4 linked regions of the Anolis sagrei genome follow. The protein of the gene in region 4 purifies or fractionates together with the protein of the main gene of each other region. This does not show direct contact. Links are inferred from orthologs where the notes say so. Each region holds a gene or a part of one and is shown on either strand. Other genes may lie near its edges.

Region 1 (7,354 bases), on a different chromosome or scaffold from region 4:
TTAATTCTTGTTATATTGACTTCACTTCACTTTATTTCTTAATTAGTCGCTCTCCACCAAGGTGCTCCGAGCGACTTACAATTTAAAATATAATTTAATACACAATATAAAAACATTCAACATAAAAACATACAACAGAGACTATTTGGCACATTAGATCTGATTAGATATTTAATGGCATCAAACTGTATCAAATGTAAGCCTTTGTGTTGGAAAACCTTTGTGTTGGAAAAGGTCATTAAAGATACTGAAGGTAGATTCATAATGATAATAGGTAAAATTAACAATACTCAGGTATCAATAGCAAGTGTCTATGCCCCAAATCAGAAACAAGTAAAATTTATAAACAAAACTTGCTCAAAAATAGAAAAGCATGCAATAGGAGATATAATAGTCGGTGGGGACCTAAATTTACAATTGTACAAAAAAACGAAGAGTAATAGAACTGGAAATTCAGGTACAAATTGTAAGATAAATTTCAGTAAGTGGAACTTAATAGAGGCCAACAATAGAATAGGGGAACGAGCAGATACCCCAACACACTACTCACATAGGCACTCAACATTTTCTACCATAGACTATTTCCTGGTGGGTATCAACAACACAATGCCAATAAAAGAACTTTTGGTGGGCAATTATTGGCCAGGAGACCATGCACCTCTCTACTTAAAATTAGGAAATTATACCATAAACAAAGTGAAAAAATGGAGATTTAACCCAAAAGTTGCTTATAAAGAGTCAGACAGGAAAGAGATAAATGAACAAATTATTCAGTATTTTAACTTAAACAGAACCCCTGGAATGAAAGAAAACATAGTTTGGGATGCTTTCAAGGCAGTAATTAGAGGAAAGTGTATAACAATCGAGAAGGGAATAAATAAAAGAGAAAATGAAAGATTAAGGAAATTGAGGTCTGAAGTAGAAGAAGCGTTCCAATCATTTCAAAAAGACCAAACAGTGGGGGGGAAAAAGAGATGGATAGAGTTAAATAAACAACTAGAAAACCTGGAGGAAATTGAAAGTACAAAGAAATATATCTGGGTCAAGAACGACTTTCAGACAAACTCCATAAATAACACAAAGAAATTAGCAAATTTCCTAAAAAAGAAACAAGGGAAAACAAAAATCTTTAATTTGAAAGACGAGATGGGCCAAATAAAAACAAGTGAGGAGGACCTAAAGGAAATAATGGCCAATTACTACGAAAAGCTGTACACAAGTAAGGATACAGTGAAATCGGAAGGACTACTCCAAAAAAAATTAGACCCTCTATCCCAAGCAACACTGGACAGGATCATCACTAGCAATGAAATAGAGGAGGTAATAAAGAAATTAAAAATAAACTCTTCACCAGGCCCCGATGGGCTCACTACAAATTTCTATAAAATTTTTCAAAAGGAAGTCACCCCTAATTTACTAATACTATATAATGAAATCATGGAAAATAAACTAATTCCAGAAACATGGAAAAAATCCGAAATTACAACAATTTTAAAACCAAACAAAGAGGGGACTGACCCCAACTCATATAGGCCTATTACTTTATGCAACGTGGACTACAAAATTTTCACAAAAATAATAGCTAATAGGCTGAAAGAGGTAATACCCACTCTAATTGAGGAAGATCAATACGGCTTTACTATAAAAAGAAAGATAGCGGACCCAATTAGAAATATCATAAATATAATTGACCATGCAACTAGAGAGAAAACAAAATTACTCCTAATAAAATTAGATGTTTACAAAGCATTCGATACAATAAATCATAATTATTTGGCTAACTTATGCGAGGAGAGTAACTTAGGAAAAAAGATATGTGGAGTAATTAAGGAACTGTATAAAGATAATCTAGCTGAAGTGATAGTAAACGGATCCAATTCTAGAACTATTGAAATCAAAAGCGGAACCAAACAAGGTTGCCCTCTTTCCCCCCTTCTCTTTGCACTAGCGATAGAACCTTTTGCTAATCTAATCAGATCAAACAAAAACATAAAAGGATATAAGATAGATAAAGAAGAAATAAAAATAAATTTGTATGCAGACGACGCAGTAGTCCTCATAGGTTCAATGGAGAATTCGGTAATTGAAGTAACGAAAGAAATTAAAAAATTTGAAAAGATCTCAGGCTTAACAATTAATATTGAAAAATCAGAAATCCTACCTAAAAACATGAACTGGAAGGAGGTGAAAGAAGTCCAATCTATTCTAGGGGTCAAACTGGGGGAAAAGAAGTTAAAATACTTAGGAGTGTATATACCTAAAAATCTAAATAACATAATTCAGATAAATTATAACCAACTATGGAAGAAAATAAGCAAACAGATTAACAATTGGAAAAAATGGAATTGGGATATAACAACAAGGGTGAAGACATATAAAATGATGATACTGCCCAAATTTTTGTACTTATTTCAATGCCTTCCATGTAGCATTCCTCCCAAAATAATAAAGAAATGGGATAACTCAATTAAAACATGGGTAGTAGGCTCTAGTAAAACCAGAATTGCAAATTCAATTTTTTATACTCCACAAGAAAATGGAGGTTGGGGAGCACCTTGCCTCCAGAACTATTACGAAGCCTGTCAATTGGTTAGGTTACTTGAATTAGATATCGGTGAGCCCAAAAGATGGGTTAGGTTAGAGAAATTAACAAACGGGTGGGAATATGGATCTTGCATTATGGGGAAAATTGGGGGGAAAGAACTAAAAAACATAAAAGGAGGCCCCTTGTCATTAACAATGACTTGTTGGGGAAAATGGCAAAATAAACTCCCAGTAAATAAAATAGACAAGCTCCCAATAGGTTCCTTAGACAACAGAAAACCCCAGCTATATCGCAACATTCTAAAGAAACTGGAACAAAACGGAATAACAAAGATTGAGGACTTACTAAAACCAGACGGGACTGTAATTCAATGGGAGGAAATAAAAGATAAATGCGGGCATGGAAATTGGTTACAATGGGGAGGGCTGTCTAAAAAGCTAATAGAATTGAAGAATAAGGAAACCTCAGAAACAAATCTCGACAAAATAATAAAATGGAAAGTAGAGAGGGAGAAAGGAATCATGGGATTTATATATAACACAATCACCGAAATACAATACAACACAAAATCTACCCTAATAGAAGTCTGGAAGGAGGAATTAAGTTGCAGTGAGAGAGAAATAGACAATTGGATTAATTCAATCAATAAAATAAAACACCTAAAGATTAAAGAAATGCAACGAAAAATATTGACAAAATGGTACAGAACTCCTGTGCAACTGGCGCATATCACAAAAACGTGCCCAAAATTATGTTGGCACAACTGTGGTAAAATAGGAACATATGCCCACATGTGGTGGGAATGTGAAAAAATCCAAAAGTTCCAAGAAATAATCAGGAAAGAAATGGAGGAGCTATTAGGGATCAAGATAGAATGGAATAAGGCCCAATTTTTCACTCAGAAATTCGAAAATAAAGAGGAATATAAGGAAAGTGAGGAAATAATAAAACATATGATAGAGGGAATTAAAGCCTCAGTGGCCCTGGGCTGGAAAGACCACAAGAAATGGGATACAAAAACCTGGTACAAATATTTAGCAGATTACCTTCTTCAAGATTATATTAGCGAAAGGAAAAGTTACTATATGACGGGTCAAAGCAAAAAGACATGGAAAGCAAAATGGAAGGGTCTCATATATAGAATAAAGGGGAAAGATAAATATACGGTGTTGAACAAAACTATTCTCATGATTGAACAATTGTAATAAACACAGTTAAAGTATCTATTTGTTCCCGGGGGGGGGGGGGGTGTGCTGGTGGCGGGATTGGGGAAAAAACTGGTATTTTGAATGTTATTTTCAAAGATGGAATGTTTCTATGTATTATACAATAGTAATAATAAAATTTAAAAAAAAATGTAAGCCGCCCTGAGTCCTCCTTCGCGGGTTGAGAAGGATGGGGTAGAAATGCTGGAAATAAATCAATGCTCTCTTACTGCTCCCAGTCTGTTTTCCCGCCATCTCTATATGAAGCAGAGAAACTGCTTCTCCCTCCAAAGCCATTCACAAAGAAGCCAACCAATCAGGGCCTCGGTAGGCGGAGAGAACACACAAGCGTCCCGCCCCCTTCCGAGGGACCAATAGCACTCTTTCTGCTCCAACTAGCGTCTCGCGACATCACCCTAATCCAGGCTCAGATCTCGAACTCCAACTCCCAGGAGCCCCTTCGCGACCAGCGTTCTGACCAATCGCCGCCTCCCGCCACAGTGGGCGGAACTAGCCGGGAGCCAATCAGCGAGAAGCGGGGAGGGGTGCGTCGCTGCGGCAGCGGAAGCAACACTCCCGGACTGAGCCCCCGCGCGGTGTCAGCCCCGAAAGCGGCGCTGGGGGCTTTCGTGAGGGAGATTCCGCCGCAACTCCGGCTGCAGGTAACTGGCCGGGGGAGGGACGCGCTTCGGAGGCAGGGCTCCGTAGAGAGGCGCCCGCCAGCCAGCGCTGGAGAAGACAAGCCGGAGTGGCGCGCACCTCCTCTTCGAGGCCTCGATTGCTTCAGAGTGCGTTCGCGGTCGCTTTTTTATCCTCGCCCAACATCCGGGTCCCCGGCCTTGCGCGTCTGTTTCACATAGTGATCAGGGAGGAGAAGGGAGGCGGGACAACGAGCCATCGCCCGCCTCCTCATTGGCTGTTTACAGGCTTCCTCATTGGCTGGGAGGGCCTTCTCCATTCTGTGTTGGATTGGCCAGATGTAGAGAGAAGTCGACTTGCCATTGGAGGAGGGGCGGGGTTTACACATTAGCCCGTGGGCGGGGCCTGTTGCTTGGTAGGCTGTGTTCGCCCCTGCGCTGGATTGGCTAGGCGGGAGGAGAGGCTTGCTTCCCATTGGTCGCCGCGGGAGTGGGGGCTGGGCTAGCATAGGCTCGAATGGGCGGGGCTTGCGCCGAGATCCAGAGCTCCGGAGACGCCCCTGCTCGATGCCTTCGCTCTTGCGGCCGGATTTGGCACCCAAAGCCTCCTGATCGCAGCTGCCGCCAGAGAAGAAAGTTAGACGGGGCCGAAATGTGAGGACAGCAGCTGATCCTGGGCAACGAAGGTGGGATTAGCGGGATCAGCAAGAGGGGCGTCTGCACTGTCCAGTTAATGCAGTTCGCCAACACTTGAGCTGCCCTGATTTAGTGCCTCGGAATGATGGGGGTCTTTAGCCTTCTCTGCACCGAGCCGTGGCAGCTCAAGCGGGGTCAAACCGCATTAATTATTCAGTGTAGAGGCTCCCCACGATCGTTGGGAGTTCCGTCTGCGTTGGAATGGAGAATGGGGGGTGGAAAGAGCCCTTCGGTGCATCTCTATTGTAGAATTATTGCAGTTTGATACCACCTTAATTGCCACGGTTCAATGCTACATAATCACGGGAGTTGTAGTTTTGCAGGGTCTTTAGCCAACTCTGCCAAAGAATGTCCGTTTCTCACCAAACTACAACTCCCAGGATTCCACAAACTACAACTCCCAGAATGCCACGAACTACAACTCCCAGGATTCCACAGCATTGAGCCTTAGCTCTTAAAGTGGTGCCAAAATTTATTAATTCCTTTGCTCTCTGCCAAAGAGTGTCCGTTTCTCACCAAACTACAACTCCCAGAATGCCACAAACTACAACTCCCAGGATTCCACAGCATTGAGTCATAACAGTTAAAGTGCTGCCAAATTTCATTAATTCCTTTGCATAGGAATGATGACTATGTGGCCATTGAGACTGATCAGTTGCAGCGCCTGTCGTTTCTTAACTGCCTTAAGTATTTTTGGGGGGAGATAAATCGAATAATCGCTGAGTTGCTGTGAGTTTTCTGGGCTGTCTGGCCATGTTCCAGAATGTCATTGAAAGCCATTGAAATCCACAAGCATGTGGACAGTTGCAACAGAAAGGAGGAAACCATGAAAATGAAGGAAATCTGATTTACCAGTATTAAAAAAACTCTAAGGGCAGTAAATAAAGAACAACACTCAGAAAACAGGAGAATTCCAGACAAGAATAAATTGGAGCCAGTTAACACCTCCAGACAAAGCATTCCCCCAGGCAGCAACCAGGCAAGCTTTGAAGGCCATTCAATGCTAATCAAAGTGGCCAATAGCTACATTTGCTCTTGCCTCAAACAGACAAGAGTTCTTTCTCCCACCCTGGACATCCCACAGATATATAAACCCCACTTCCCTAGTTTCCAGCAGACCTTACAACCTTTGAGGATGCCTGCCATTGATGTACATGAAACGTCAGGACAGAATGCTTCTGGAACATTTATTTATTTATTTGCGACATTTATATTCTGCCCTTCTCACCCCGAAGGGGACTCAGAGCGGCTTACAAGATAGATACGTACATACAATACATTATACCATTAGCACAGTACAATATCAGCACTATACATCACGATATTGTACTATACAATTATATTGTAATATTATTAGTAATATTACATGTAATATAAAATATATAATTATAATATCATATTATTAGTAGTAGTATTATACTGTATTACATTATAATATTCTAAATGTATGGAACATGGCCATACAGCCTGGAAAACTCACAGCAACCCAGTGATTCCGGCCATGAAATTCTTTGGCAACACATCAAGTAATAGCTACTCATGAAAGCCAACATGGTGTAGTGGTTTGAGCATTGGACTGTGACTCTGGATACTCAAATGTAACTCAGACATGGAAACCCACTTGGGGTGTGCAAGTCACACACTCTGAATCTCATAAGAGGGCAAAGACAAACTTTCACAGAACAAATCTTGCTAAGGAAGGTTCATGATAAGTTCATCTTAGGATCAGAAATAATTTCGAGGCATAGAGATGCTAGAGATGGGCAAAAAAGCTCTTCCACAGGGAAAAGTGGAGCAACAGCACCCCCACCCTGGTGGCAGAACCAAGCACAGATGCAGAAGATATATACCTCTATCTATGTTAGTGGTTCCCAGCCTGTAGGTCCCCATGTGTTTTGGCCTACAGCTCCCAGAAATCCCATCCAGTTTACCAACTGTTAGGATTTCTGGGAGTTGAAGGCCAAAACTGTATTCTATGTACAGTTGTCTGTCTTGTCAGTGTATAACTGCATTGAATGTTTGCCATATATGTGTTCTACGATCCACTCTTAGTCCCCTTTGGAATGAGAAGGGCGGAATATAAACACTAAATAAATAAATTAGTAATATTGAAAAATATGTTGTATATTTAGCTGTGATGGAGCCTAATAAAATATTCTGATTTAGGAACATAGTATACATGTCTGCCCACTGTCAGATGTTACACAACATAGCCAAAACGGCAAAAGTATGATAGCTGGGACCCTACGCTGGTTGCATAACATGGGTCT
Region 2 (7,586 bases), on a different chromosome or scaffold from region 4:
AACTCTAAATCCCAGCAACTACAATGGCCAAATGGCAAGGTCTATTTTCCGCAAACTCCTCCACATCTGGGCATATTGAGTATCCATGCCAAGTTTGATCCAGATCCATCACTGTTTGAGTCCACAATGCTCTCTGGATGGAGGCAAACTACAACTCCAAAACTCAAGGTCAATGCCCACCAAACCCTTCTAGTATTTTCTGTGGGTCATGGGAGTTCTGTGTGTCAAGTCTGGTTTAATTTCATCGTTGGTGGGGTTCAGAATACTCTTTGACTGTAGGTGAACTATAAATCCCAGCAACGACAACTCCCAAATGAAAAAATCAATCCTCTCCCACCCCACTAGTATTCAAATTTGGGTATATTGGATATTTGTGCCAAATTTGGTCCAGTGAATGAAAATACATCCTGCATATCAGATATTTACATGACGATTCATAACAATAGCAAAATGAGAGTTATGAAGTAGCAACGAAAATATGTTTATGGTTGGGGTTCACCACAACATGAGGAACTATATTCAGGGGTCGTGGCATTAGAAAGGCTGAGATAGATAGATAGATAGATAGATAGATATAGATAGATGGTCTGATAGATAAATATAGATAGATAGTCAGACAGATAGATATAGATAAATTGATGGTCTGATAGATAGTCAGATAGATAGATATAGATAGATAATCAGATAGACTGACAGATATAGATAAATTGATGATCTGATAGATCAGTGGTTCTCAACCTGGGGTCCCCAGATGTTTTTGGCCTTTAATTCCCAGAAATCCTAACAGCTGGTAAACTGGCTAGGATTTCTGGGAGTTGTAGGCCAAAAACATCTGGGGACCCCAGGTTGAGAACCACTGTGATAGATAGTCAGATAGATAGATAGATAGATAGATAGAGATAGATGGTCTGATAGATAGATAGTCAGATAGATAGATAGATAGATAGATATAGATAGTCAGATAGACGGATAGATATAGATAAATTGATGGTCTGATAGATAGATTGTCAGATAGATAGATAGATAGATAGATAGATAGATATAGATAAATTGATGGTCTGATAGATAGTCAGATATATATATATATATATATATATATATATATATATATATTGATGGTCTGATAGATAGATATAGATAGATGGTCTGATAGATAGATAGATAGATAGATAGATAGATAGATAGATATAGATAGATAGATAGATTGATGGTCTGATAGTCAGGTAGATAGATATAGATACTCAGATAGACGGATAGATATAGATAGATTGATGGTCTGATAGTCAGATAGATAAATGTAGATTTATTTATTTATTTATTTATTAGGCTTGTATACCGCCACCCCCAATTTGGCTCGGAGTGGTTTATAGCAGTAGATTAAAACAATACAACCAACCTCAAAATACAATAAAAACGAGAACAGACACAGTCCCGAGTTATTCACCCATTGAAAGCTTGTCGGAAAAGAAAGGTTTTACAGGCTTTCCGAAAAGCAAGTAGCTCTCGGATGGTTCGGGTTTCAACTGGCAAGGCCTTCCATAAATAAGGGGCCACAATCGAGAAGGGTCTCTGCCTAGCAGAGGACAGATGGTAAGTCCGGATGTTGGGGACTTCAAGCAAATTTTGGTCTTCGGACTGATGATGGTCTGATAGATAGATTGTCAGATAGATAGATAGATAGATAGAGATAGATCGATAGAGATAGATAGATAAGTCTGATAGATAGTATCTATGTATCTGATAGTATCTATGGTCTGATAGTCAGATAGGTATTTTTTTGTCAGATAGATAGATCGATAGAGATAGATAGATCGATATAGATAGATAGAGATAGATATAGTCTGATAGATAGTATCTATGTATCTGATAGTATCTATGGTCTGATAGTCAGATAGATTTTTTTTGTCAGATAGATAGATCGATAGAGATAGATAGATCGATATAGAGATAGATATAGTCTGATAGATAGTATCTATGTATCTGATAGTATCTATGGTCTGATAGATAGTCAGATAGATTTTTTTTTGTCAGATAGATAGGAGATAGATAGATCGATATAGAGATAGATATAGTCTGATAGATAGTATCTATGTATCTGATAGTATCTATGGTCTGATAGATAGTCAGATAGATTTTTTTTTTGTCAGATAGATAGATCGATAGAGATAGATAGATCGATATAGAGATAGATATAGTCTGATAGATAGTATCTATGTATCTGATAGTATCTATGGTCTGATAGATAGTCAGATAGATTTTTTTTTTGTCAGATAGATAGATCGATAGAGATAGATAGATAGAGATATAGTCTGATAGATAGTATCTATGGCCTGATAGTCAGATAGATTTTTTTTTGTCAGATAGATCAATATAGATAGATAGATAGATATAGTGATAGATAGTATCTGTGTATCTGATAGTATCTATGGTCTGATAGATAGTCAGATAATTTTTTTTTGTCGTGTCAGGAGCGACCTGAGAAACTGCAAGTCGCTTCTGGCGTGAGAGAATTGACTGTCTGCAAGGACGTTGCCCAGGGGATGATTTTGATGTTTTTATCATCCTTGTGGAAGGCTTCTCTCCTGTCCCCGCATGGGGAGCTGGAGCTGACAGAGGGAGCTCATCCGCCTCTCCCCGGATTCGAACCTGCGACCTGTCGGTCTTCAGTCAAATAGATAGATAGATAGATAGATAGAGATAGATGGTCTGAAAGATGGATTGATAGATAGATAGAGATAGAGATATATGTTCCATACATTCATTCTACCCAGTTTATTGGGCGTTTTGCAACCCCCCCAAAAGGGGGGCAAAAGGGGGAGAGGGGGTTAAAGGACCCCCTCCCCAATATTCGAGGATTGGGAGGGGCTTTTCTTCCCAACCCCCAACTTCTCCTCTCCCTCTCCTCCCCCCCTTCCCCCCCTCATCTTACTTACGTGGACAGGAAGCTTCTCCCCGGTGGGCCCCCCGTTTGCTGCTGTGGCTGCCCGGCCCCCCAAGCGCGGACCCGCTCGGCCGCCGCCCCCCGCCGCCATGTCCCTCGCTCCCTCCCTCCTTCCCTCCCTCCTTCCTTCCTTCTTTCCTTCCTCCGCCTTTTGCGTCACCGCGCTCGGGGAGGTGGGGCCAAAGCGGAACCTTCGCGCTTCGGGAAGAAGCACCCGCCCGGAAGGGAAAAAGGAACCGGACCGGAAGAGGGTACAGCGCAGAAAGAGCGGCCAAACAAATAGGCGCGCGGCTGAGGGGGGGGGGGGGGGGCATAGAGTTGCGGCGCAGAGCGGCCAAAGGAAGGGACCAGGAAGTGAAGGACACCGCTCTTCTCTCGAGCGAGGGAAAGACTTGACGTTTGTGATGAAATGCAGGATCAGGAGACCCAACCCTACTTTACTTGCTCCATCCATGTTCAACATCTACACAAATGGCCAGCCACTGCCAGAAGGGACAGAGAGTTTCATCTATGCTGATGATCGTGCCATCACCGCTCAAGCAGGGAGCTTTGAGATGGCAGAACAGAAGCTTTCCGAAGCTCTTACTGCCTATTACAGGGAAAACCAGCTGGACTACTGCAATGCGCTCTACGTGAGGCTGCCCTTGAAGACAGCTCGGAAGTTGCAACTGGTGCAACGATCAGCAGCAAGGATGTTAACGGGAGCCCCTTACAGAGAGAGGTCAACCCTCCTGTTCAATTTATTTATTTACTTTGCTTGTATACCGCAGTTTCTCAGCCCGTAGGCGACTCAACGCGGTTCACAACAAGAGCAAAAGACAATCCAACAACATACAATATTAAAACTATTAACAGTATAAAATATAAACTAATGACATCTCAATAACAACACATTAACGTCTCGTAACTAAAATCGTGATCCAATTCGTCATCCATAATTCCGTTTCCTATATTCATCGTGTTCATTGCACTATTTATCCGAACGCCTGTTCAAACAGCCAGGTTTTTAGTTTTCTTCAAAACACCATTAGCGAAGGGGCTGATCTAATGTCCATGGGAAGGGCGTTCCACAGCCGAGGGGCCACCACAGAGAAGGCCCTGTCCCTCGTCCCCGCCAGCCTTGCTTGTGATGCAGGCGGGATCAAGAGCAGGGCCTCCCCAGAAGATCTTAGTGTCCTGGTGGGTTCATAGGCAGAGATACGTTCGGATAGGTAACTTGGGCCAGAACCGTTTAGGGCTTTATAGGCCAACGCCAGCACTTTGAATTGAGCCCGGTTCAAGGAGCTCCACTGGCTATATTCCGAGCTCAATTTAAGGTGCAGGTGCTTACCTACAAAGCCCTGAACGGTTTGGGACCAGCTTACCTGCGTGACCACATTTCCATCTACGAACCCACACGCTCACTTCGGTCATCTGGAGAGGCCCTGCTCATGATCCCACCTGCGTCGCAAGCGCGCTTGGTGGGGATGCGGGACAGGGCCTTTTCCGTGGTGGCCCTCAGACTCTGGGTCCTCCCCAAAGACCTTAGACAGGCCCCCACACTGGCAGTCTTCAGAAAGAACTTGAAGACTTGGCTTTTCCGATGCACCTTCCCAGATTAGGAAATCTCCACTACCAAGTCCCATAAGCACCTTATCAGAACCAATGACTGCTGCACATCACACTTGCCCTAGAAGACTCATATACACCACCTGTCACATCAGCACTTTTAATTCTTGTACCCATTACTTTGGCCTGGCCCAGTTTTTATTGTGTTTTAGTGTATTGCTTTTGCCTGTTGTTTATCTGCTTTATCCTGTTTTTAATTGTTTGATTTGCCTAGTTTGTATTGCTATGTTGTGTGTTGAGGCCTCGGCCTGTGTAAGCCACATCGAATCCTTCGGGATTAGCGGGGTACAAATAAAGTTTAATAATAATAATAATAATAATAATAATAATAATCCCCAACCCATCTAAAACACAGACATGTGCTTTTCATCTCAAGAACAGAGAAGCATCCCGAGCTCTGAGGATCACCTGGGAAGGAATCCCACTGGAGCATTGCAGCGCACCCAAATACCTGGGAGTCACTCTGGACAGTGCTCTTACCTACAAAAAGCACTGCCTGAATATCAAGCAAAAAGTGGGTGCTAGAAACAATATCATACGAAAGCTGACTGGCACAACCTGGGGATCACAACCAGATACAGTGAAGACATCTGCCCTTGCGTTGTGCTACTCTGCTGCTGAGTACGCATGCCCAGTGTGGAACACATCTCACCACACTAAAACAGTGGATGTGGCTCTTAATGAGACATGCCGCATTATCACGGGGTGCCTGCGCCCTACACCACTGGAGAAATTACACTGCTTAGCTGGTATTGCGCCACCTGACATTTGCCGGGAAGTAGCAGCCAATAGTGAAAGGACCAAGGTAGTGACATCTCCAGCTCATCCCTTGTTTGGGTATCAGCCAGCACGTCAACGACTTAAATCTAGAAATAGTTTTCTAAGATCTACAGAGACGCTCGCTGGAACACCTCAGCAAGCGGGAGTCCAAAAGTGGCAGGCTCAAACCCAGAACCTCAAGCAATGGCTGATACCAAATGAGAGACCCCCCCCCTGGGCACAAAGAAGACTGGGCGATTTGGAAGGCACTGAACAGACTGCGCTCTGGCACCACGAGATGCAGAGCCAACCTTCAGAAATGGGGCTACAAAGTGGAATCCTCGACATGCAAGTGTGGAGAAGAGCAAACTACAGACCACTTGCTGCAATGCAACCTGAGCCCTGCCACATGCACAATGGAGGACCTTCTTGCGGCAACACCAGAAGCACTCCAAGTGGCCAGATACTGGTCAAAGGACATTTAATCAACTACCAAACTCACATATTTTGTATTTTGTCTGTTTGTTTGCTTTGTTCTGTTAGAAATGTAATATAATCGACTGGTTGCCCTGACACTACAAATAAATACTGAGAAAGGCCGACACAAGCCGTATACAAGGCCGCCATCTAGTGTCTCATTGCAGAAAAGCAGGCCCTTTATTCACTCCCTATTAAAAGATGCCCTCTAATGGCTATGTGGCAGCTATTTCACCTCTGCCCACTGAAAGCCAAAACCAAGGTCACAACATCTGTTATAGAACTCCAATATGCCGATGATAACGTAGTCTGTGCGCATTCAGAAGAAAACCTACATGCCTCTCTAAATACCTTTGCAGAAGCATATGGGAAGCTCAGGCTCTCACTGAACACTGAGAAAACCAAAGTGATCTTCCAGCAAAAGGCACCGACCAATCCCTCTGCAATGCCAGAAATACAGCTTAATGGTGCAACATTCTTCAACTTATTTAGGAATATTGGGCTTCTTCGTCTTGCCAGATTTCTTCAGCCTTCTTTGTCCACCAGATGTTCTTGACTTCTCTTGTCCTTTGGACCTCAGCTTTTGCACTGGCATAGATCTTTTTCTTAGCAACAGAGTTGACATCTCTCTGCCATATTTTTAGCATAGTACAATATCAGTATTATATATTACTATACCATTATATTATACCTGAGGTCGTCAAACAGATGAAAGTGGAGCCAAGGTTCGGATCATGAGAAATGAAATTTATTCAGAAGAGACACCGACACAACGAGCTACAAGGGTTATGGTCAATTATGAGGTTGTTTGTGAACCGTTGCCAAACCTGACCTCGAACCCATAGACTTATAATGGGACAGAAGCAACATTGGGGTTGGGCTAAACCTGCCTTCAAAGAAACCAGCATTAAGGCAGTTGTTTGCAAAACATGGCATGGACTTCACAAAGAGAGAAAGCCATTGCTTTGGGGGGAAACGAAACACAATAACACGCAAACCTGGGATGAAATGGCAACCTGGGATTGGCTCGAACGAAGAAGAGGCACCAACATGGATCTCTCTCTCTCTCCCTCCCCATCTATAGAGGAGAAGGAGCTAATACTCAGGCTAATACTTGCAAGGCTCCGGCCTCCTTCCCGGGCAACAGCTACTCCTAAGACGGACAACACTGAACGGGGCTTTTCCCCAGACCTCCAAGCACCAAACGCACTCCGGAATGGGACTTATTTTTGGCCACATGCTACTGCGTCCGTAGCTGGTAATCTAGACAAAAAAGACAAAACGGATGAGTGAGCAAAGCTAGACCCTCCTGAAGGAAACGTGAAAATAATAATAATAATAATAATAATAATAATAATAATAAATCATTCTAATTATATTATATTATTATATAATAAAAATTACAAGATATGTTCCACTGTGCTTTTGATTAGACGATTTCCCCAGAAAAATGCTGGCTCCCAGTTATGACCCCAATTTACAGTCCCTGCACTTTACTACTGCCCCCCACTTAGAGATATAGTGTTCCACCTTATATTACCCATTACCACCATTTTTGGTTATCTGAGATAAAACACATAAAGCTGTTCAACAGTGGAACTCTCTGCCTCAGAATCCAGTGGAAGCTCCTTCCCTGGAGGCTTTGAAACAGAGGCTGGATGGCCATCTGTCGGAAGGGATTTGATTGTGCTTTTCCTTTTTTCTGTTGTCAACGCACCTCCGTTCTGCGTGATGTATCGCACCCACGGCAAGGCCTGGTAGCCGCTCTTCTCGATGATCTTCAAGTAGCGGACCTAAGGAG
Region 3 (7,230 bases), on a different chromosome or scaffold from region 4:
CAACCAGTAGATTTTTGTCTATGCACCTACTTCAATGACAAGGGATCTGGGCATCTGCTTTACCATTGTAAAGAAACTAAGTTGATTACCCTAGGTAACAAATTTTGAAAAATGTTCTGTTCCTGGTTTGAAAGTGTTGTTCCTGTTTGATTGTACGGTGCTTACTTTTAAAGGAGCTGTTATACAGAAACTTCATGTTTGTGGCTGCCACAAATTACGTTGAATTGGTTGAGACTCTATGAGATATTTACTGAAAAACTAGAGCAAAATGTGCTGCAAGATGCAGTTTAATAAACTTTTTCCATATTTTATGAAAGAACTAATCAGGAATGACATTTATAACCCAGGAACAAAAATTGTGTTACTTAGTATTATAAAGGGAAGGCTGGTCTGAAACCCATTACCAGGTCTTGATTTCTATTTCTTTCTATACTCAAACCCTAGAGACAGATCAATAGGAATGTCACATCTATTATAATAATTGCTCAAGAATCCTTTATTTGAAATGCTTGGGACCAGAGGTGTTGGGGAATATTTGCACATATATTGTGAGATATCTTGGGTCTAAACACAAAATCCTCTTATGTTTCACATGCACAATGTTTTTTTAAAAAAAACAAAACATTGGACATGAAGCATGGTTTGTTTATATCAAGCCACGTGAAAGCAGAAGAGTTGCTATCACACCGGCTCACGCAGACAATTGGGGAACATTTTGGGGGTGAAGAGCATCCTGATTTCCTCCATCTGTTTCCATGGCGCCAGGCTTTGCAAAAACAAGAACCCAACAGTTTCCTGCCCCAGGCTTCCAATCTAAGGAAGACATGGCACAAAGGAAAAAGGGAAAGGCAGTGTGGGAGGGAGACGGGATGCTCTCTCTCACACTGTCAAATGAATAGTTCAACAGCTCACTGCTAGGGAACCATGGGAACTGTAGTTTGGCAAGGCCTTGAGACTGCTGGTGGCTTCTCAAACTACAAATCCCAGGATTCTACACAGATTGGGTTTATCTGCTCCCACAAACCTATCCCAGGTTGCTTCGGTTTAGATTTTTAAAAAATTGTAACAGCAGATTCTGAGGGCTCTTCCACACAGGCATGTAACACAGAATATCAAGGCAGAAATTTCCACAATATCTGCTTTGAACTGAGTTATCTGAGTCCACACTCAGATAATGTGGGATTTTCTGCCTTGATATTCTGGGATATAGGGCTGTGCGGAAGGCCCCTCAGTTAGCGGGAACCTGAGCAACCAGAATCCTCGAGCAACTGTCAATCAAGATGGGGGGGGGGGATCTATCAAGCAACCAGAGGTGACAGTTATGTGACATCCTCCACCACCACCACCACAATAAAATAACCTGGGATAAAGAGCAACCATGGTTACAGATCCTGGGATACAGGGCAGTGTAGACAGGGCCTCATATAATCCAATTCTTTGAGAATGTGGATTATATGGCAGTGTAGAAAGGGGCCCCTTCAACACAGCTGAATAAAATCCCACATTATCTGTTTTGCACTGGAATATATAACAGTGTGGACTCAGATAACCCAGTTAAAAGCGGATATTGTGGAATTTTCTGCCTTGATATTCTGGGGGGCCTTCCACACAGCCATATAACCTGGGATCTGATCCCAAGTTTTCTGCTTTAAACTGGATTATGAGTCTGCACTGCCAGATAATCTGGGATAAACAGAAAACCTGAGATCAGATCCTGGGGTAAAAGCCCTATCTGGCAGTGTGGGCTCAGATAATCCAGTTCAAAGCATAGCCTTAGGGATTATCTGCCTTGATATTCTGGGTTATACGGCTGCGTGGAAGGACCCAGTGTGATCTGGAAGTGTGGACTCGGAGAACCCATGGTCTTTCCACGCAGCCATATAACCCAGAATATCAAGGCAGAAAACGCCACAAAATCTGTGTGGAATTGGGTTATCTGAGGGCCCTTCCATACTGCCCTAAATCCCAGAATATCCAGGCAGGAAAGCCCACATTATCTGAGTGTGGACTCAGATAAACCAATTCAAAGTAGATATTGTAGGATTTTCTGCCTTGATATTCTGGGATATAGGGCTGTGCGGAAGGGCCCTCAGTCCACACTGCCATATATTCCAGGTCAAAGCAGATAATGTACGATTTTAAAAAGTGGCATGGAAGGGGCCCTGGAAGCGTTGCGAGCTCTCCCTTTTCTAAGTTCTTGTGGGTTTTTTCGGGCTATAGGGCCATGTTCTAGAGGCATTTCTCCTGACGTTTCGCCTGCATCTATGGCAAGCATCTTCAGAGGTAGTGAGGTCCTCACTACCTCTGAGGATGCTTGCCATAGATGCAGGCGAAACGTCAGGAGAAATGCCTCTAGAACATGGCCCTATAGCCCGAAAAAACCCACAAGAACCTAGTGATTCCAGCCATGAAAGCCTTCGACAATACATCTCCCTTTTCTCTTCGCACCATCGCTCTGACACCTACACTGTCGGATTAACGCGGTTCGAAACCAGCGGAACTGCCAAGGCGACAGAATCCCTCGGGCTGTTCGTTTCACCAAGTCCGGCGCCTTCCCTGGCAAAGGCTCGACAAACGACAACTCCCGGGAGCCCACAGCATTGAGCCGGGGCAAAGAGAGCGGCACGAGACCGCGTTAGGTCTGGAGTGTGGATGCCCCCTGAGAAGCCGCTCCAGACTCACCCTCGTCGGAGTCCCGTGCGCGTCCGCTCCGCTCGCCATCCTCTTCGTCGAGCGGGCTGTCTAGGTCCTCCTCCTCATAGCTCTCGGCGGCGGGGGCGGGGCCTGTCCCGGGGGGAAGCGCCGTGGTCGTAGAAACGGCTGCGGTGGGAGGAGGGGGCGGCCCCGGCGAGGGCAGGGCGGGGGAAACCAAGGCCGCGACGCTCATGGCCGCAGCGCGGAGAAAGCGGCGGAGAAAGCGGCGCAGAGCGCGCGCCCCCTCCCCTCCCCCTTCGAGACCCGCTCTTTTTCTCCTTCGCCTCACAGCGAGCGAAGGAGCAGCTCGGCTCCCTCGCGCAGGCGCACAAGCCGCTTCCGGATCTTTCCCCCGCCTCCTCGTCTTGCGCATGCGCTCCGTGAAGCCTTCGCGCGTCTTTACCCGCGCTCGTTGTCATCACTAGTTTTGGACCGCAGCGCTTCCCTTAGGCGGAAAGCACAGGTGCCGTCCATCTCTTAGTGCCTTGAACATAGACTCGACTCAGTCATGGACCCACACGCTTCGTGAAGTGTTTCCGCGTTCAGTTAGGGCGTACACACGGCCCTATATCTCAGAATATTAAGACAGGAAATCCCACATTATCTGAGTGTGGACTAAGATAACCCCGTTCAAAGCAGATATTGTGAGATTTTCTGCCTTGATATTCTGGAATATAGGGCTGTGTGGAAGTGACCCCCCCCCCCCCGATAAAAGATAGTTTATAATCAGGGAATTCATAGTTTTGCCAAGGACAGCAAGCTGGAATTGAGGTCGAACTCAGAGGCCCCCGCCTTCAAACTGATTTGAATGCAGCAGGGAGTTCCACAGTTCCTGACAACATGGACTTTCAAGATGAACCAAAGGACTGGGGCTCCAGTAACAGCTTCAATTGAGAAACCTTTTTCCTCCCTCCTAGTCCCCCCCCCCCCCGCTTCATTGTAACAATCCCCCCAATAAAAAGTATTATTTTCTCTAATGTTTCTCTCTCTGCAATGATACATTGTGTCCCTTTACTGACTCTAACACCAATTAATATGAACCCTCCTCTTCCCGAGCCGCGGAACTCCGCTGGCTCACCTGCGACACTCTTACAATGTACTGGGGAGCCCGAAACTGCGATCCTTCAAACCGCGGATACGGAAACCAGCTTGGCACTGGTGTCTGCAGGTTGACCGATCGACTCCAAATCAATGTCATCTTTTTCCTGGGTCAATTCTAAGACTAACTGCTATCTTACTTTTTGCTGAATGGACCCCTGCGCCCGGAGATCCACCTCTTTGCATGGAACCAGGCCCGTAGCCAGGATTTCGTTTCGGGGGGGGGGGGGGGGGTAAAAAATTTTCAGGGGGGTTTCGGGGGGGGGGGGGCTGAGTTTCGAGGGGGGGGCTGAGTCTGAGTGAAAGAGGGTCTAGACTAGCAAACCTTTTGTATCATTATCTGAATACCCCCATGCATATGGGATATATTGAGTATGGTGATCAGATCATGATATGAATAAACATAACAGTTTAAATAATGCACCAGTAAGGCCTTTTCGCGAACCACCATGAGAATTTGTCCCCCCCCCCCCCCCCCCCCCCCGCTACATGCCTGCATGGAAGGTTTATTTCCATGGCTCCACACAACCTGTTCTTCTTGTGCACGTTGACTTGGAAGCCTCTCAAACCCGGGGAGTCTCCTGTGGTCACTCCTTGGGACCCCCGACCACTGGCAGGCCAATCTCGCCACTTATGAATTGGACTTATGAATGAACCTCCTGTTTTTATTAATGGACTTTAGCTACTCGGTACCTTTATTAACTTGTATGAACTCTCATGAACTTTCTGAAACCTTTGAGAACTTTTATTAACTTCTTGCCAACTTTCATGAACTTTATGGACTTTGGGGTGACTGAGATGAATTCCCCCTTGACCCTGCATGCCTCCCCCTTTCTCATATGATCTCTGTATATGCCTCGTGCTGGAGGGGACGTGGTTTTAAAAAGGGAATTTTCATATATTTCCCCAATGCCCATATGTCATGATTTACTGCCATATTGGCCTATTTCTGCAGTAGGCCTTTGTTCACAGAAAATGCTGATTGTTTGAGAAATCAGTGCTCCAAAGAAGAAGTTACTATTCAAGGGTAACAACATATCCGGACAAAACCAGCTAGCTGTTTGCTAGATAGAACCCCCAAGTTTCCCAGTCGCTCTGAAGCCATGTTTGCAACAGACTAACAGATAAGATACAGTCATGGTCAGAGAACAATGGACTATAGTTATGTTATACTTGTGCCATTGTTAGGATCCCACGTGTGCTATAATGTCAATCAAAATCACAAACAACTAATGAACTGCATAGTTAACTTAGACCAATGAAATGATTTGTCTTTGGGAACCAATGAGATGATTGATTTCTATGTACCAATCAAACTGTTTTAATGAAAGTCATAAATAATCAATGCAACCAACTTTAGGTTGGACAAATCCCTTTATTGCATTTCTATATGCATGTTTGTCACTATTGCTTCAGCTGCACAATAAATAGCATTTTGCAGTTTTAAAGATTCAACTTTCGTGGTGTCCTTCCTCGCCCTCCTTGGGAAGGGGCAATCTGCTCTTGGATTTTGGATTTGTGGATTATCTTGATCGTTTTTGCCCCTACAGTGCCACCATCCATTATATGTGTGTATGTATAAAAGTTATGAAGCAAAGTGACCTTTTCATGAACCATGCCAGAAACTCATGGCTCTAGGGACTCCACAACTTCCTGAGCCAGTAATCCCCTAACAAAAGGACTTGACCAAAACAATTTGCATGGACCAATGGCCCCTCTCCAGGACTTCGGAGGGTCTCATTAACCAGACCATCCAGGAAGATGTGACCCATGGACACGTTAAAACATTCAACACAGAAGGCACCTATGTGTCACTGCCCATTGTGAAAACTCTCTCATCATCAAGTAAATATCACTGGATTATAAGACAATGGAACTATCCTTTGGGGCCAGACAAAAGATGATATTTCAAGATTCAGGACAATAGTCTGGGCTGAGGCTTGAGAGCTAAGCTATCGCTTTGGCCCTCTTATCAATACAGGTGCGGAAGAGGCCATTCATAATCTCATCACTTTACTCATTCATTCATTGTTTCCCTTCTGGCCCGCTTTCCTCTCCACTCATTGGCTGAGTGGCCGAAGCGGGGCTAGTGCTCTGATTGGACAGAACGCAGCCTCCCCGGCTGCTCCTCCCAGTCAGCTGATACTCCAACCACCAGGAGGTGGGCACGGGAGATTTGAATTTGACAGTTCTATAAATATTTTATTTCCTTGCCCAGTGAGCATGTCAGCTCCTCAGGCAGATAACTGCAGTCGTCATCCGTTCCAACTGGAATGAAATAAAAACTTCGGTGGCTTTCCTTCAACTTGGTGAGACTTTATTTGGGAAATTAAGGGAAAATCTTTCTTTGTGCTTGCTGTCTTGCCAGATGTTTTGGATCCCCCTTTTGGGTCTAGCTGGTCTCTGCCTTGGCAGGGCCTTCCAAATTCGTGTTCAACATCAGAATGATATAATAAGAGTTAAGTTTTGGCCAATCTGCAGAAGGACTAACAACCACAACAAGGACCATTCCCATGTTAAATTGTGTGTACATTTAATCAAGATTTATGCCCTATATTTTACATATTTATAACAAAAGGTAATTGCTATATTTACTGGTAACCCTGTCACAAAAGGCATTTGACCTTTGGCCTACCTAAGCAGACCCATGAATTAACAACTGTGCTAATTGTCCCCTATACCAGTCAATGACCTACAGACAAAGGATTCCAAGGCCTTTCTGTCTGAGGCTAGCAAAAGGGAATGCCAAGTAAATAATATTTTATAACCATGTCTTCCCTTATGAACTTCAGATGACAAAGGCCAATCTTTCCCCAATCCTGCATGCCCCCTTTTCCCTTTATGAACATTATCTGAGTGTGGAGTCAGATAATTCAGTTCAAAGCAGATATTGTGGGCTTTTCTGCCTTGATATTCCGGGATATAGGGCTGTATGGAAGAGCCCCCAGTTTAAAGTAGAAAACATGGGATCAGATTCTGGGATATAGGGCCTGTCTGGAAGGGTTATATGTTGAATTGGTTGAGACTAAATGATGAGATATTCATTGAAAAACTAGAGCAAAATGTGCTGCAGGATGCCATGTAAAAACCAACGTTTGGGCAGTTTATTCAACTTTTCCCATGTTTTTATGTTAGAATCAATTAGGATATGACCTTTATAATCCAGGAACAAAAACAGCTTTGAGTCCCCTTCAGGGGAGATAAAGCAGGGTATAAATAAATATAAAATGTGGAGGCAGCAACAAACTTTGTATTATTAGGTGTGAAGATGACTGCAGACGCAGACTGCAGCCAGAAAATCAGAAGATGTTTCCTTCTTGGGAAGAGAGCAATAACCAATCTCAATAAATTGGTTATGCGTAGAGACATCATACTGGCAATGAATCAATCTGCATAGTTAAAGCAATGGTATTACCCCTATGGATGCAAGAGCTGGAT
Region 4 (8,070 bases):
GCCGGAATGTTATTCTGTCTATATATGTTTGTCTACAGCTGGTGGAGTTGTGGTGTCAGCTCAGGTCCTACCTCTCTAAAGACATCAGCAGGGATCCCATCAGGTCCACTATCTTTGTTATTTTTGGTTATTCTATGTTGTATATCTAAATGGCATTGAATGTTTGCCATGTATATGTGCATAGTCATCCACCCTGAGTCCTGGCCCTGAGTTCCCAGCAGGGTGAGAAGGGCGGAATAGAACTGTTGTAAATAAATAAATAAATACTCTTCAAGGTCTTACTTTTAATTACTTAATTAAGTAATTAATTAAGTAGATTCCATCTGAACATGAGGAAGAACTTCCTGACTGTGAGAGCCGTTCAGCAGTGGAACTCTCTGCCCTGGAGTGTGGTGGAAGCTCCTTCTTTGCAGGTTTTTAAACAGAGGCTGGATGGCCATCTGTTGGGAGTGCTTTGAATGCAATTTTCCTGTTTCTTAACAGGGGGTTGGACTGGATGGTCCAAGAAGTCTCTTCTAACTCTCTGATTCTATGAATTAATTACTCTTCAAGGCCCCAGCCTCCTTCTCCCACTTTCCCCCATTGATACAGCCATGGCAGCTTTTGTTGTGTATTATTTTTGGGTTTGGCCTCATGTTAGCCTCCCTGAGTCCCTTTTGGAGAGATGGTGGCGGGGTATAAATAAAGTTTATTATTATTATTATTATTACTTAGTTAAGTAATTACTAATTATTCTTCAAGATCCTAGCCTCCTCCTCTCACTTCCATTTATTATAGTTGTTGTTGTTCATTCGTTCAATCGTCTCTGACTCTTTGTGACCTCATGGACCAGCCCACGCCAGAGCTCCCTGTCGGCCGTCACCACCCCCAGCTCCTTCAAGGTCAGTCCAGTCACTTCAAGGATGCCATCCATCCATCTTGCCCTTGGTCGGCCCCTCTTCCTTTTGCCTTCCACTTTCCCCAGCATAATTGTCTTCTCTAGGCTTTGCTGTCTCCTCATGATGGGGCCAAAGTACTTCAGCTTTGTCTCTAGTATCCTTCCCTCCAGTGAGCAGTCGGATTTTATTTCCTGGAGGATGGACTGGTTGGATCTTCTCGCAGTCCAAGGCACTCTCAGCACTTTCCTCCAGCACCACAGCTCAAAAGCATCGATCTTATTATTATTATTATTAAGCATCGATATTATTATTATTACTTAATTAAGTAATTATTAATTATTCTTGAAGGCCCCAGCCTCCTCCTCCCACTTTCTCCCATTGATACAGCCATGGCAGCTTTTGTTGTGATGTAATTTTTCTGTTATTTTGTGTTTAACTTTCCTGTATTATTTTTGGCCTCATATTAGCCTCCCTGAGTTCCCTTTGGAGAGTTGGTGGCAGGGTATAAATAAAATTTATTATTATTATTACTTAATTAAGTAAGTATTAATTACTCTTCAAGGCCGCAGCCCCTCCTTTGGAGAGATGGTGGCGGGGTATACATAAAGTTTATTATTATTATTACTTAATTAATTATTAATTATTATTCAAGGCCCCAGCCTCCTCCTCCTACTTTCCCCTATTGATACAGCCATGGTAGCTTTGGTTGTGATGTGATTTTTCTGTTATTTTGTGTTTAACTTTGCTGCATTACTTTTGGCCTCCCTGAGTCCCCTGTGGAGAGATGGTGGTGGGGTATAAATAAAATTTATTATTATTATTACTATTACTTAATTAAGTAATGATTAATTACTCTTCAAGGTCCCAGCCTCCTCCTCTCACTTCCATTTATTATTATTATTACTTAATTAAGTAAGTAAGTGTTAATTACTCTTCAAGACCCCAGCCTCCCCCTCCCACTTTCCCCCATTGATACAGCCATGGCAGCTTTTGTTGTGATGTGATTTTTCTGTTATTTTGTGTTTAACTTTGCTGTATTATTTGGTGAAGTATAAATAGAGTTTATTATTATTATTACTTAATTAAGTAATGATTAATTATTTCTCAAGGCCCCAGCCTCCTTCTCCCACTTTCCCCCATTGATACAGCCATGGCAGCTTTCGTTGTGATGTGATTTTTCTGTAATTTTGTGTTTAACTTTGCTGTATTATTTGGTGAAGTATAAATAGAGTTTATTATTATTATTACTTAATTAAGTAATGATTAATTATTTCTCAAGGCCCCAGCCTCCTCCTCCCACTTTCCCCCATTGATACAGCCATGGGAGCTTTTGCTGTGATGTGATTTTTCTGTTATGTTGTGTTTAACTTTGCTGTATTATTTTTGGACTTGGGTCTCATATTAGCCTCCCCTTTGAGGAGATGGTGGCAGGGTATAAATAAAGTTTATTATTATTATTATTACTTAGTTAAGTAAGTATGAATTCCTCTCCAAGGCCCCAGCCTCCTCCTCCTCCTCCCACTTCCCCCCCTTGAGTCAGCCATGGCAGCTTCCCTTTCCCCATCTACAGGTGCCAAACAGTGGAGAGTGGAACGTTGGGACCATAATAGAACGTTGGTGGACTGAACGTTCGAAATGGGACTTCCGGGATTCCCCAAAAGCAAGGGAAGTCTTCCTTGCCTTGATTGAGGGGCAGGGCTTGGCTGCAAACAGGTAGGCAGCCTTTGAGGGTCACCTGGGTCAACAAAGAGCACTCTTTCCCTCCCTTCTGAGACCAAAGAGAGAGGAGGAAGGAAGGAAGGACTCCAGGGCCAGGCACTCTGCCTTGCCTGCCTTGCCTTCCCTCCCTCTGCAGAGACACTCCTTCCTCGTCCCCGGCCATGTGGCGCCCCCGACCTGCAACAATGCCTTCCCGCTCCAAGCCCAACTCCGGTTCAATCACGCCTCCAATCACTTTCCAACTTATCCTCACATCGTAGTTCTCTCCAAAGGAGTTTGGAGGTTTTCCCCAAACTTTTCCAACTCTTACCTCCCACAAGTCACTCTTTTGTGCAGAAAGCCTTCCTCGCCTCTCTCTCTCTCTCTTTCTGCCTCCCTCGTTTGTCTCGCTGCTGGGATGCCAAGAGCAAGCGCCGGGCTCATTGGCTTAACCGCCAGCCCCGCCTGCGCATGCGCCATTCCCACGGGCTGGCTCCTCAATGGAGCGCCTTCTCGGCGTGTTGCATGTCTCTTTAAGACGAGAGGGGGCCGGGGGAGCGACGGGAGGCAGAGGATGAGGGGGCGTGGTTGCTGTGACGTAAGGGGTGACGTCACAAAAATAGAATGGGTTACATTCTTGAATGAGAATGGAATTCAAAGTGAGTTTTCCGGGCTGTTTGGCTATGCTCCAGAAGCATTCTCTCCTGATGTTTCGCCCACATCTATGGCAGGCATCCCCAGAGGTTGTGAGGTTTGTTGGAAATTAGGCAAGAGAGGGTTATATCTCTCTGGAATGTCCCAAAATGGGAGAAAAAAAAGTATTGCCTGCTTGAAGCAAGTGTGAATGTTGCAATTGGACATCTTCATTAGCATTTAATCGCCTTGCAGCTTCAAAGCCTGGCTGCTTCCTTCCTGGGGGAGTCCCACCTTGATTAGCATTTAATCGCCTTGCAGCTTCAAAGCCTGGCTGCTTCCTGCCTGGGGGAATCCCACCTTGATTAGTATTTAATCACCTTGCAGCTTCAAAGCCTGGCTGCATCCTTCCTGGGAGAATCCCACATTGATTAGCATTTAATCGCCTTGCAGCTTCAAAGCCTGGCTGCTTCTTGCCTGGGGGAATCCCACCTTGATCAGCATTTAATCGCCTTGCAGGTTCAAAGCCTGGCTGCTTCCTGCCTGGGGGAATCCCACATTGATTAGCATTTAATTGCCTTGCAGCTTCAAAGCCTGGTTGCTTCCTGCCGGGATGAACCCCACCTTGATTAGTATTTAATCACCTTGCAGCTTCAAAGCCTGGCTGCTTCCTGCCTGGGGGAATCCCACCTTGATTAGTATTTAATCACCTTGCAGCTTCAAAGCCTGGCTGCATCCTTCCTGGGGGGATCCCACTTTGATTAGCATTTAATTGCCTTGCAGCTTCAAAGCCTGGTTGCTTCCTGCCTGGGGGAATCCCACCTTGATTAGTATTTAATCGCCTTGCAGATTCAAAGCCTGGCTGCTTCCTGCCTGGGGGAAATCACATCTTGATTAGCATTTAATCACTTTGCAGTTTCAAAGCCTGGCTGCTTCCTTCCTGTGGGAATCCCACCTTGATTAGCATTTAATCACCGTGCAGCTTTGTCAGTTTGGATTCAAAAGTCCCACAGAATGTTGTGTGTATTTTTAATATATATGTGTGTGTGTGCGTGCGTGTGTGTGTGTTGTATGTTATTAATATACAGTGCAAGAGCACCCATTGAGGCACACGAAAAGGAGGCAGCAGCACAAGTGCAGTTATTTATGCCCAGTCTGGACTAACATGAGACCCAAGATGGTTCACAATACAGTGTAAAACAAAATACCACTCCAAAATAAATGATTCTATAGAATCATCAAAATTGTAGTTGGAAGTGTCTTTATTGATCACTGAGTCCAGCCATCTGCTCAATGCAGGGTTTCCAGGTGAAGTAGCTCTGTATCCTGTTTTTGATGATATCCAGAAAACTGCACCTTCATTCTAGGCAGTCAGCTCCATTACCAAACCATTGTTTGTTGTTGTTGTGTGACTTCAAGTCATGGTCAATAGGAAATATTCAGTCAAATTATCCTTCAAATGCATGAAACCCTTAGACTTGGTCAGATGTGCTCCCTCCTTTCTGTAATTAAACAGTACAGTCTGGTCACCCTTTATCATCTCTTTACCAGGATGAACACATCCATTTCTTCAACCTTTCCTCGTGTTTTGTCTTCTCTGAACTGGCTCCAACTTGCATCCTTTCTGAATGTATTACAGCTGGCCCTCCTTACCCAGAGGTTTATGGGTTCCACCATGGCTCAACATTATTTTTGGGGGGTGGGGGGGAGAGTTATTTAAACCTTTATTGTGCTGAGCATTATGCTGATATGTAGAGTTATGCTGCTTGTAGCCCCTTGCCATTTCACAGGTCTGAAATGCTCCCTCCGGCACTGTTGTTGTTCATTCGTTCAGTCGTCTCTGACTCTTCGTGACCTCATGGACCAGCCCACGCCAGAGCTCCCTGTCGGCCGTCACCACCCCCAGCTCCTTCAAGGTCAGTCCGGTCACTTCAAGGATGCCATCCATCCATCTTGCCCTTGGTCGGCCCCTCTTCCTTTTGCCTTCCACTTTCCCCAGCATAATTGTCTTCTCTAGGCTTTGCTGTCTCCTCATGATGTGGCCAACGTACTTCAACTTTGTCTCTAGTATCCTTCCCTCCAATGAGTAGCCGGGCTTTATTTCCTGGAGGATGGACTGGTTGGATCTTCTCGCAGTCCAAGGCACTCTCAGAACTTTCCTCCAACACCTAGGGAAGGCTGAGCGAAGGAAGATCGATGCTTTTGAGCTGTGGTGTTGGAGGAAAGTTCTGAGAGTGCCTTGGACTGCAAGAAGATCCAACAAGCAACCTTATTTTATTCAGTATGGTCTCTGAAATTTGCACAAGGAACAGGGGGAAAAGTGCAAATTTCACAGATGACCACTTGAAGAAACGTGGTGACAGCTTACTTTACTTTCTATCAGTGTCATGAAAGGCACACACAGAAGTACTTCCTTCATTGCATAGTATATAAACACATTACCTTTGGATAGGCTGATATTACTGCTAAGCAGCTTGATAATTTATAAACAGGCAGAACACACCAGCAGGATGTTTTCTATTAGCTTTGTATAGAAATGATCTTATATACGTTATGCAGTTTGCAATAGGTTTTTGTATCTTAACTTGCCAGAGAGGGTTGCCAGTTTAGGTCTTACGTTACCTCCCATGTGTATAAAAGGTAAATGTAAAGGCTTCCCCTGACATTAAGTCTAGTTGTGTCTGATCCCAGGGGGTGGTTCTCATCTCCATTTCTAAGCTGAAGTGCCAGCGTTGTCTATAGACACCACCTAGGTCATGTGTCCAGCATGACTGCATGGAGCGCCATTGCCTTCCTATTGATCTACTCACATTTGCATGTTTTCGAACTGCTAGGTTGGTGGAAGCTGGGTGTAACAGCGGGAGCTCACCCTGCTCCCTGAATTCAACTTGCAAATTCAGCAGCTCAGTGTTTTCACTTGCTGGGCCACCAGCCCCCCCCCCCCCCCCCGGGTGTATGTGTGTATATGTTTTGTCTATTGACTTCAATAAAGCACTGTTGAGCAGACTGTATTATTCTCACAGTTTTATTTGTAAAGACCATTGCATGAAAAGCTGCATTTAATTGTAATCCAAACCCCGGGAAAAGGGAAAAGAAAATCCAATGCACATCAGTTTGTGATATGTATGCTAAAGTGCTTGAAATAACAATACTTTTACTGATATCCACTTCCTTAACATTATCCAGTCTTGATTAACTTACTAATCATGTAAAACATAAAACCAGCAACATACTCTAGGGTTACTTAAGGGATGGGGAGGGAGGGGTTCTTTAATAAACTATACCTCATCTACTTGTACAATTTCAACTGTAACATACAACATTTCCTTAATAAGATATTTACTTTTGATGAGAGGAAGAGAAAGCAAAATACATATAACGGCAGCATTTCTCAAACACACTAAACCAAAACAAAAACAAACCCCGATTAACAGCCCAGGCCCAAACTTTTTTATTCAGAAGTCATTTCCATGTAACTCCATTGGAATTTACCTCTGAATATATGGGCTGCAGAAGATGAAATACAGTTTTCCAGCACCGAGATAACCTCATTCTGGTTAGCCTGAGATTTGTGAACTGTTCACACACTAATCCGCATTTAAATTCTATTAAAATACTATATTAGTATAGCAGTTATGTTAAAGAATGTTTGAGAGAAACTGTTCCTGAATACAGAATTAACTGTCATTAACCAGAATGCTTTGGTCATCTTAAAATTCACTTTCTCACATCTACAAAGGCTTATTAATACTGATGCCAAAAGGGTGTGCTAAACTGTGGAGAACCACAACTAAGTCTTCACCCTCCTTAGAAAAGACAGCAGTTTCTTTACGTTCCAAATGCGCAAAACTGTCTGGCGGTTATTTTCTTTTATTTGCAAAGTTGCACATGAAAGGGAGAAAACAAACGTCCACAACGAAGTGCACTCCTGAAGTTGTCAAATTGACAGGTCTATCGAAGATCAATCTCATGCTTCAAAGGTTGGGATAATACTACATAAATGTACAACACTGGAAAGAGACATACGAGGGTTGAATGAAAAATAATGCCTCCACCTTCGTAACTCCTCAACAGATGGCAGTACTGGTATGCGGCAGGTACTGGCTTGTTCAGTAGACTCCCCTCTACAGTTCCATTTTGGCCTTAGCATTGAACAGTTGTGTTGTTAAAGTGCGAAGTATGGAACCCTGCACAGACGATCGGTCAATGCAACTTAAGCAACGTGCAGTCATTGAATTCTTGACAGCAGAAGGTGTCACCCCAAAGGAGATTCATCAGAGAATGCAAGTTGTTTATGGTGATTGTGTTGATGTGAGAACTGTGCGTCGTTGGGCGAGTACGTTTAAAGATGTTGAGGTGACACCACCTGCTGTCAAGAATTCAGATGGTCAGTCAATGCGACTTAAGCAAGGTTAAGTCATTGAATTCTTGACAGCAGAAGGTGTCACCCCAAAGGAGATTCATCAGAGAATGCAAGCTGTTTATGGTGACTGTGTTGATGTGAGTACTGTGCGTCGTTGGGTGAGTACGTTTAAAGATGTTGAGGTGACACCTTCTGCTGTCAAGAATTCAATGACTGCATGTTGCTTAAGTCGCATTGACCGACAGTCTGTGCAGGGTTCCATACTTTGTACTTTAACAACACAACCGTTCAATGCTAAGGCTTCCCACCAAAATGGAACTGTAGAGGAGAGTCTACTGAACAAGACAGTACCTGCCACATACCAGTACTGCCATCTGTTGAGGAGTTATGAAGGTGGAGGCATTACTTTTTATTCAACCCTCATATATAAGATGTTTTTCACACACCATTCATGTGGAGTGAAACTGCCGACTATGATGTTTGACTTCACAGGCTAGC

Evidence for each region.
Region 1: the proteins of SINHCAF (region 4) and SAP130 purify together in Homo sapiens (affinity purification with mass spectrometry; 3 studies listed by BioGRID and IntAct, counting the BioPlex papers as one, with this or other methods). This does not show direct contact. The link is inferred for Anolis sagrei from reciprocal best matches to the Homo sapiens genes SINHCAF and SAP130.
Region 2: the proteins of SINHCAF (region 4) and SIN3B purify together in Homo sapiens (affinity purification with mass spectrometry; 3 studies listed by BioGRID and IntAct, counting the BioPlex papers as one, with this or other methods). This does not show direct contact. The link is inferred for Anolis sagrei from reciprocal best matches to the Homo sapiens genes SINHCAF and SIN3B.
Region 3: the proteins of SINHCAF (region 4) and SUDS3 purify together in Homo sapiens (affinity purification with mass spectrometry; 3 studies listed by BioGRID and IntAct, counting the BioPlex papers as one, with this or other methods). This does not show direct contact. The link is inferred for Anolis sagrei from reciprocal best matches to the Homo sapiens genes SINHCAF and SUDS3.

What each region holds. Positions count from the first base shown.
Region 1 is NC_090023.1:220,772,426-220,779,779, forward strand, and holds the start of SAP130 (histone deacetylase complex subunit SAP130), read left to right. Parts: upstream 1-4,264; 5' UTR 4,265-4,412; intron 4,413-4,921; exon of another isoform or gene 4,922-5,074; intron 5,075-7,354. UniProt on the Homo sapiens protein: Acts as a transcriptional repressor. May function in the assembly and/or enzymatic activity of the mSin3A corepressor complex or in mediating interactions between the complex and other regulatory complexes.
Region 2 is NC_090034.1:59,382,410-59,389,995, forward strand, and holds the start of SIN3B (paired amphipathic helix protein Sin3b), read right to left. Parts: upstream 3,048-7,586; 5' UTR 3,033-3,047; coding exon 2,934-3,032; intron 1-2,933. Other genes in the region: AP1M1 (AP-1 complex subunit mu-1), read right to left, coding at 7,026-7,048, 7,503-7,578.
Region 3 is NC_090034.1:45,536,600-45,543,829, reverse strand, and holds the start of SUDS3 (sin3 histone deacetylase corepressor complex component SDS3), read right to left. Parts: upstream 3,044-7,230; 5' UTR 2,888-3,043; coding exon 2,683-2,887; intron 1-2,682.
Region 4 is NC_090025.1:176,835,389-176,843,458, reverse strand, and holds the start of SINHCAF (SIN3-HDAC complex-associated factor), read right to left. Parts: upstream 3,076-8,070; 5' UTR 2,908-3,075; intron 1-2,907. UniProt on the Homo sapiens protein: Subunit of the Sin3 deacetylase complex (Sin3/HDAC), this subunit is important for the repression of genes encoding components of the TGF-beta signaling pathway.